2 linked regions of the Canis lupus familiaris genome follow. The protein of the gene in region 2 interacts with the protein of the main gene of each other region in a pairwise test. Links are inferred from orthologs where the notes say so. Each region holds a gene or a part of one and is shown on either strand. Other genes may lie near its edges. The genes, in order: SPRED2 and TOP3B.

Region 1 (4,243 bases), on a different chromosome or scaffold from region 2:
ATGCTAAATGTATTTATTACATTTCTGTACCATTTAGCAAAAAACTTAAATATATATGGACTCTCAAAAAAAAAATCTATTATACCTAAGACATAACTGTAACTCCCAAAGGTCTCCAATTTGAGGTCACCAAATCTCTTTATATGAAACACACCTGGTCTACTTCCAAAAGGTTATCTGCAGGACCCCAAACATAAAGCCATTATAAGAGAAAATAAAAGATAAAAATTCATACTAGAGGAGAAATAAATAAACCTAGCAAAAACCTAGGCTAACTATGACCACTGTAATCCAGTAATAATTTTAGCTCTGAGCTTCCAGACAATGGTTGCAAAAAAAAAAGGGGGGAAAGGAAAAAAAAAAGAAACCCAACGACAACAAAAAGGCAATCACAGCAAGCTCTGCAATCCAGAGAGAAACCTTCTTCCAGGCACTAATGTTTAAAAGGCATTTTTCAGATGGGTCATTACATAAGAACTTGAACAATACAATGGACAGTGTCCACAAACGGCAGTTAACAGCCCATGCAGCCCGTGTTCTTACCGGCTTACATTTCACGTCTCATGCCAAGGTCATTACATTAAAAGTAATCCCAGGAAGGCCATTTCTGCAGTAGGCTAAGGCGCTACAGCTTTCTGATTAACTGAAACCAGAACCTGTCCTCAAAACCCACTGTCTCAACTGGGCTTCTGACAGCAGTGGGGCAGCCAGTTCCAAGCTCAAGTGCTCTGAAAGCATGAAATAGAGGTAGTCATTTCTTGCTCATGATCCCACCCCAAATCCTTTTGCTTTGGCTGTCAGATGGGGTAGGACGCAAAGCTGCCATGCTGCAGTGAAAAGGGAGAGGCCGGACCAGTACTCCCAAGGGAATAAAGCCAAGGACCCCAGCGCAGGGCTAGTGGAACCAATCTCCAACACGAATCCCAACGTCCAGAGCAAGGCCACCGTCCCTCCCTGCTACTACTGCTATTTGCGTGTGCAGGGACAAAGGAAGACCCAGAGAAACACTGGCCTATTCGTCCAGTCGGAAGGGAACAAGGCCCAGCAGCATATCTCTTCCTCCCAAAAGCAACTTTTCCCCCCCCCCATTTTACAGTTTCAAAATGCAGTGTATGAAGGCAAAGGCAAAAAAACGTTTTAAAAAAGATCAACAGCGGTGGTGGCATCGCAGCGACATGCGCTCCAGGCAGGCTGGTCCCCAGCGGCAGGTGTCTTAGCAGACCAGGGGTAACTGCAGTCCAACATCCCCGGGGGGGCGGGGGGGGGGGGTTGGAGGGGGGGGACAAGGGAAGGCAAGTCCCTTTGCCCAAACACCCACCCTCTCCCGCCCAGCCTGGCAACAGCAGACGCCAAAGGATAAAGGGGCATTTAAAAAAGAAAGAAAAAAAAAAAAAAAAAAGTAGATTCTTAAGAGTAGAGCACAGCATTCGGTCACCTGCTGCAAGAGAAGCCCTCCGGGTCACCCAGCCCTGAGTCACTTCCCCCCTCGGCACGGTCCAGGCTCGCAGGAGCAGAGGCCCCCGCAGCCCCCACGGCCCCGCGCCCCCGCGCCGCCCACGGCTCTGCGCCCCAGCCCGCGCCACTGCTACCTTCGCTAAGGGCAGCTCTGAATGAAAGGAGCCGAGGCAGGCTCCGGATTTATGAATGTGCAGGGGAGGAGGGGAGGGATATCATGTGACAATAAAGGAGAGCGTCTTATTCACAAAAAAAAAAAAAAAAAAAAAAGTGGCTGGTGGCGGGCACAGCCACTGAGCAGCGGGGACGGCCGCCGAGCGCTGACCGCTCGGACCCGCGGCCGACGACCTCAGGCGCCGGGCCCAGGAGCCCGGCCTCGGCTCCCCCTGCACCGGGGCGCCCCGGGCGCGGGTGGGAGGACGGCAGCTCCGACTCCGCGACCGCGAGGCTGCAGGAGCCTCACCTCGGCCCGGGGCTGGGCGAGCGAGCCCGCGGGGGGCGGCGGGCCACCCGGGGGCCCCCCAGCCGAGCGCCCCGAGCACCGCTCCCTGGGGCCCGCGGGCCGGGCACGCACCCCTGCACCCCCTGCACCCCGTGCACGCGCGCACGCCGCCCCGCCCGCCCCCGCAGCCCCCGCCTCGGGTCCGCCCCCCCACCCCGCGGGGCGCCCGTCCCGAGCCCCAGGGCGCGTGCACACGAGCTCACACGCGCCGCGGGACCCCTCCGGCCGCTCCCCCGCCGCGCCGCGCCCCGCCCGGGGATCCCCGGCTCCCGCAGGCCCCCCGCGCGGCCCGCGCCCCGTCCTCCCTCCGCTCCGCCGCGTTGTTTTTTTTTTTTTTTTTTTATGAATGAAAATGTGGTATGCAAATGAGAGCGATTCAAGAAAAACGAAATGGCGGAGCCCGGGCCCCCGGTGGGCTGCCTGCGGGACCGGGGATGGGGATGCGGATGGCGGGACGGGGATGGGGAGGGACGGGGATGGGGGGCGAGCGGCGGGGCGGCAGCCGCGGAGCCCCCACGGGAAAACCCACCGGCCCCGGGGAGCCGCAGCGGGGGTGCCCGGTCCTTCCGCCCCGGCCGCGGGAGATCTGGGGGGGGCGCCCCGAGGTCACCCGCGCGCCCTTGGCCGCGCCGCCCCTCCCCGCTCGGCGGGCAGGGGGCAGGCGCGCAGCCCACGCCAAGGTCCACCCCACGCTGCGCCCGCGGGCACGCTCCCGCCCCGCAGCCGAACTTACTCGTCCGGGTGTGTTTCTTCGGTCATTTTCCTGTTCACCTCGACGCCTGTCCCGCGGCGGGCAGCCCGGCTCCCTTCATCTTCCTGCGCGCTCAGCCCCGGCTTCACATCTCCGGAGACCGCCCGGTGGGGCTGGGGAGGGGGCGGCGCGAGGGGGCGCGCGGGGGCGCGAGGGGGCGCGGAGGGGGCGCGCGCCGCGGCGCCCGGGGCCCGGCCGGAGGGGCTCGGGGGCTCGGCCCGGGCGGAGCGGGAGCGCCCCGGGCAGCGGACGGCGGCGGGGGAGACAGAAAAACAAGCGCGCCGTGCACGGCGGGGGCTGCGGGGGCCGGGGGAGGGCCGGCCGCGGGCGGGGGCTCGGCCCGGGGTCGCCCCCGGGGCCCGGGCCAATCACGGTTCCGGGGAGCGGCCGGCGGCCGGGGGAGGTGCGCCTGGGAGGCGGTGCAGGGCGCCCCGTCCGAGCCCCATCTCCCGACTCCGCCGATTTACTCCATATTGGATTCTCACCGCCGCCAACAGGAGGAGGAAGTAGGGCGGAAGCGATGACGTCTTCCCAGCGGCCAGAGGTGGTGGAGTGCAAAAAAGCTTCCTACTTGCGACCGAAAAAAAAAAAAAAAAAAGGGAGAAGAGAGAGGAAAAAAAAAAAAAAAAAAAAAAAAAACTTTGACCCGCCTACTGAGCATGCCCGGCTTCCTTGCCCCCTCCCTCCCGGCTGGCGCTCCCGGAGGAGCCGCGGAGCGGAGCTGTTTGTGCGGCGTCTGCCTGGCTCCGGATCCCTGCCGGACGACGCTCCGGGTTTTGAGAAGCCCGGGAGGAGGGAGGAGGCGGGAGGGAGCCGAGGGCTCGCGCACATCTGGCTCCAGTTTGGTTCCCTCCCTCCATCCGAACCCCTGGATTAACGATGGTGGGGGGCGGGGGCGGAGGCGCGGAGTTCAGGGGAGGCCCCAGGGGTGCTCGGGCTTGGAGGACCAGCTCCCCCGCGCTGCGGCGGGAGGCGGGGGGAGGCGGCACAGGTGTTTTTGCCAAGGTTCCGAATGGCAGAGGCTTTTCAGTTTCTCATGAATCTTGTGATTTTTTTTTTTTTTTTGTCTTGCTAGAGGAGTGGACATTTACGAGGAATCGATATTTGTACTTAAAAAAAAAAAAGGTAACTCCAACACAGCTCAGAAATGCAAATGCATTTCAGTAGAAATGATGGGCTTCCTTGGGTTAAAAGGTGAGCCCAAATACATTTTAAAAATTACTTAATAGGGATCCCTGGGTGGCGCAGCGGTTTGGCGCCTGCCTTTGGCCCAGGGCGCGATCCTGGAGACCCGGGATCGAATCCCACGTCGGGCTCCCGGTGCATGGAGCCTGCTTCTCCCTCTGCCTGTGTCTCTGCCTCTCTCTCTCTCTCTCTCTCTCTCTCTCTCTGTGTGACTATCATAAATAAAGAAAAAAAATTAAAAAAAAATTACTTAATAAACCTCTCTCGTGTTGGAGGATGGCCCTTCGAAGGCCCCAGTTACTGGGCCATAGGTTACCAGTCCGGTGGGCTTTGGCACACTGGATACCCCC
Region 2 (4,275 bases):
AGAGAGGCAGAGACACAGGCAGAGGGAGAAGCAGGCTCCATGCAGAAGCCCGATGTGGGACTCGATCCCGGGTCTCCGGATCACACCCCGGACTGACGGTGGTGCTAAACCGCTGAGCCACTCGGGCTGCCCTAGATACCTAAATTTTAAAAACAGACTTTACATCTATAGGACTACTGCAAACACTTCTCAACGTCCTTTTTTCCTATGGTGTTAAAATTTCTAGAAGTTTTATATTTCTACTACTCTTCTTTGTACCTAAGGATCCTAAACACTTTCAGGAAATAACAGATTCTTCTCTACAGATCCCTTTAGAGAAACATTTTGTCCTAGCATCTTCAAAGGGAGTACCTCATTTATCCAGGGCTAGGGATAAACCTCGACAGCGCCCACGAAGGCACACCGGCATCCATACCCGTTTCAGATCACCTGTCCACCTCAGACTAGTTGCTGTTCCACACTGTTACATGTAGGTCTTTAGCAGCTCTGGCTCTAGTTCAACAGTTTATAGTTCAGTTCTGCATAAGGACTTTGTAATGATCTGAGTATCACTGATTTACTGGGAAAAATGTATGACTTTCTTTAAGGATTTGGAATCCTGGGAAAGGGACCCTGGTGATGATCTGGTACAGACGTCTCAAGGAAGAACAAATTAAGACTCAGAGAAAGAGATTCTCCAAAGGTTACCTGGAAAGTTTGTTGAGTTGGAGCTGAAACTCCTGCTTCTCTATGAGATACTTTTTTGTTTTTTTAACTGCACCAGGGTCTACCTGTTAAAAGAATTCTGCAGTCTTAACTGATTAATTTTCGGTGGTTATCTTGGGGCCTATTTTTCTATTAAGGCACACTCCAACTTCAAAAGGGAAATCAGGGACGTCTGGGTGGCTCAGTGGTTGAGCATCTGCCTTTGGCTCAGGTCGTGATCCAGGGTCTTGGGATTGAGTCCTACGTTGGGCTCCCCATGGGGAGCCTGCTTCTCCCTCTGGCTCTGTGTTTCTCATGAGTAAATAAGTAAAATCTTTTTTTTTTTTTTTTTAAAGGGGAAATCAATGAGAATAAAAGCTGAAAGCAGTGGTTTGCAAACTTCTATAAACCATCATTATACCATATGCCATCTTAAAACCCTTTTGCTGTACTGTTATTACTTAAGGGTTTGCATTTTTTAAAAAAGATTTTATTTATTTATTCATGGGAGACACAGAGAGAGGCAGAGACATAGGCAGTGGGAGAAGCAGGCTCCTCACAGGGATCCCGACGTGGGGCTCAATCCCTAAACTGAGCCAAAGGCAGACGCCCAATCTCTGAGCCACCCAGGCGTCCCAGGTTTTTGCTTTTTAAAAAAATCTTGGGATCCCTGGGTGGCGCAGCGGTTTGGCGCCTGCCTTTGGCCCAGGGCGTGATCCTGGAGACCCGGGATCGAATCCCACGTCGGGCTCCCTGGTGCATGGAGCCTGCTTCTCCCTCTGCCTGTGTCTCTGCCTCTCTCTCTCTCTCTCTTCTGTGACTATCATAAATAAATAAAAAAATTTAAAAAAAAATCTTTAAAAAAAAAAAAAAATCTTAAGGCAGCCCCGGTGGCTCAGCGGTTTAGCTCTGCCTTCAGCCCAGGGCGGGACCCCGGAGCTCCGGGATCGAGTCCCACGTGGGCTCCCCGCATGGAGCCTGCTTCTCCCTCTGCCTGTGTCTCTGCCTCTCTCTCTCTTTCATGAATAAATAAATAAAATCTTAAATGTCTGTTATTTTTAAAGGGAAATGTGATCGCCTTCTTTTCCATAACCTATGTGGTTCATCAAATTTGATCTCGTCGCCTGCTAAAGCTGCATCTGAGGTTGGTTCTCTCATTTCAAAAGGGAGAATCAGCCAGTGCTGAGGGCGTGTTGACAGCAAACAACACACACTGGAACTGTGAAGGGAGAGCGTCAGGTGGGCACTTACTGCCGTCGGCGGACTCTCCTCTCGGCAGCAGGATCAGCAACGGTGGGTGCCCTCGGGGGTCGCGGTACACAAAGTCCTCCCCTGTCAGTCTTACGAACAACGGAACTCGGCTTGGGGGTGGAGGCCCAGCGGTGGCGCAGACAGCACCGAGAGCAGGATCTCCACCTTGGCCACTTAACCCGGTGCCGCGGGGTCCGGAGAGCAAGCCCCTCCTCTGCACGCAAGCCCCGCTCCGCACGCCGCCGCTCTCTCCAACCTGGCCCGTCACGCCTCGAGGCTGGCCTGGGCAGTTTTCTGACTGCGAGCGGACCGAGGCTCAGAACAATGCGGCCGAGGCCCAGGCGACCTTTGCCGCGGCTCTAGGGGCACCTCGGGGCTCCGTGGCCATCAAGCCCACTCTGGGCGGACCTTCCCACGTCCTCTCCCGAAGGCTGAGTGGCAAAGAGGCAGGATAAGGCCAGTCCTCCCTTTCACCTGCGAGAACTGAATCCGGCGAGTCTGTCCACCAACAACTCGGAGAAACACACCCGGGAGCCCTCAAGGCCGGGCCGGGCCCGGGGCGGCAGGCGGCCCCCCGCACCTCCGTCTCCCCACCTGTGGCCGCAGCCCGCACCTCAGAGCCCCGCGGGAGGGTCGATGGAGGTCGCCCCTCACCACCTCCCGGCACCCCCACCGCCAGCCCCGGGGTGCGGGCGCCCCCGCCGGGAAGCAGGGCGCGGGAAAGCGAGGCGCCGCCTCCTCTCCCACGCCCCGGGGCTGGGGGCCCACCTCCCCGGCGCTTCCCGCCGCCCGCCGCTCACCCGCAGCCCCGCCGCGGCCCCCGCCGGGGCTCCCGCCGCAGCTTCCGCTCGGGGGGCGGACTCGGCAGCCTCCACTTCCGGTCCGGCCGCGGCGGGCGTCCCCGCGGCTGGCGTCCCCTCGCCTGTCCTCCGGGGCGCGCACGTCCGCGTCCGCGGGTTCCGTGGCTCGCGGGTACCGGCCCTGCCTCCTGACCCCTCCCCGCGGCCTCCCCAAACCCCCCACCTTTACTCTTCTTCGCCACCGGGAAAGCAAGAAAGGCAGCTGTTACAATGGTCGTAAAAACGGAATGATAAATATGAAAATATATATGCTGTTCATAATTAAAATAATCAAATTCGCAGATGAGCGTATAGCCGACTCTTTTTAATGCTGTGAACGAATGTGGAATGAACGAATGAATGAATATAAAATCTATCTGAAAAAAATCCATCTGGAAGATGAATTGGGCAATAAAAACAACTTTTTTTGTGTGTTAAAGCATTAGGATTATGGAAGGCTTAAAAAACTTTTCATGGCCTTATTTCAATATCTTTTATGGTGTCCCTAAATATGTTTTAAGTAATAGCAGACACACATTTCCCCTGCTCCCTGTAGGCTCTTTCTCCAATCTGCCTTTTTTGAGTAGGAGCCCTGAAAGATGCTCTGGACAAAGAAACATCTTATGGTCAAATTAAGGTCGAGAAATGCCAAGAATTAAAAGTCATAATGAGACTCATTTTCAAAACGGAACTGATTCCAAACCCACTCCTTGGCAAGGTCTCCGTCTCCAAAATGGCAGCTTCATCTTCCTGGTTGCTTAAGCCCAGTGTCTGACAGCGTCCTGGATTCCTCTCTTTTTCTCGCTTATTACTCATCTGAAAATCCTGCCATCCCTGTCTTCAAAATATATCTGAGATGCAATCAATCCTCCCTGCTTCCACGGCCACCATCCTGACCCAAGCCCATCTCCCTCCTGGTCTCCTAGTCTCCACTCTGCGCCCTATGGTCTGTTTCCCACACTATTCTAGCGGTCAGGTCTAAGACTGGATTTAAAGGGTGAGACCAGTTGGCAGAGAGGCAGCACCAGAGCCCCTTTATTCTTTAATTCCATTTGGGGATCATTCTGCCCACCAGGAGGTAAGATCTGAGGCCTGGACCCAGCAGGGGGCACGGCGTGCTCAGTTCTGGGGGATCTCAAGAGCGTTCTTGCCAAAGCCCAGTCAATGCTGACTCAGCTGGCCTCAAGGTCAGATCCCTGAGAGACAAGGTCACTGTATCCTCCACAGGAAGGGGCAGCAACATTGCAGGATGTGTTATCTTAAGCCACATCAGCAACTGCCAGGTCCCCGAAGTCCTCATCTACAAGAACAACAACCAGTCCTTAGGATTCCTGACTCATTCTCTGGTTCCAATTTGGGCACCACAGTCCCTCTGACTATTGCTGGGCTCTCAGCTGAGGACAAAGCTAGTTACTACTGTCAATCCTATGACGCCTCCGTTGAGCCTGCATGGCTCAGAGTTCCAGACCCCAGAGTAAGTGACACACACAAACCTTTTAGC

What was found.
Region 1: the proteins of TOP3B (region 2) and SPRED2 interact in binary tests that used the Homo sapiens proteins (3 or more experiments, as listed by UniProt). The link is inferred for Canis lupus familiaris from reciprocal best matches to the Homo sapiens genes TOP3B and SPRED2.

Annotation. Positions count from the first base shown.
Region 1 is NC_049231.1:66,165,489-66,169,731, forward strand, and holds the start of SPRED2 (sprouty-related, EVH1 domain-containing protein 2), read right to left. Parts: upstream 2,860-4,243; 5' UTR 2,717-2,859; coding exon 2,691-2,716; intron 1-2,690. UniProt on the Homo sapiens protein: Negatively regulates Ras signaling pathways and downstream activation of MAP kinases. Recruits and translocates NF1 to the cell membrane, thereby enabling NF1-dependent hydrolysis of active GTP-bound Ras to inactive GDP-bound Ras.
Region 2 is NC_049247.1:31,389,006-31,393,280, forward strand, and holds the start of TOP3B (DNA topoisomerase 3-beta-1), read right to left. Parts: upstream 2,832-4,275; 5' UTR 2,736-2,831; intron 2,571-2,735; exon of another isoform or gene 1,936-2,570; intron 1-1,935. UniProt on the Homo sapiens protein: Releases the supercoiling and torsional tension of DNA introduced during the DNA replication and transcription by transiently cleaving and rejoining one strand of the DNA duplex.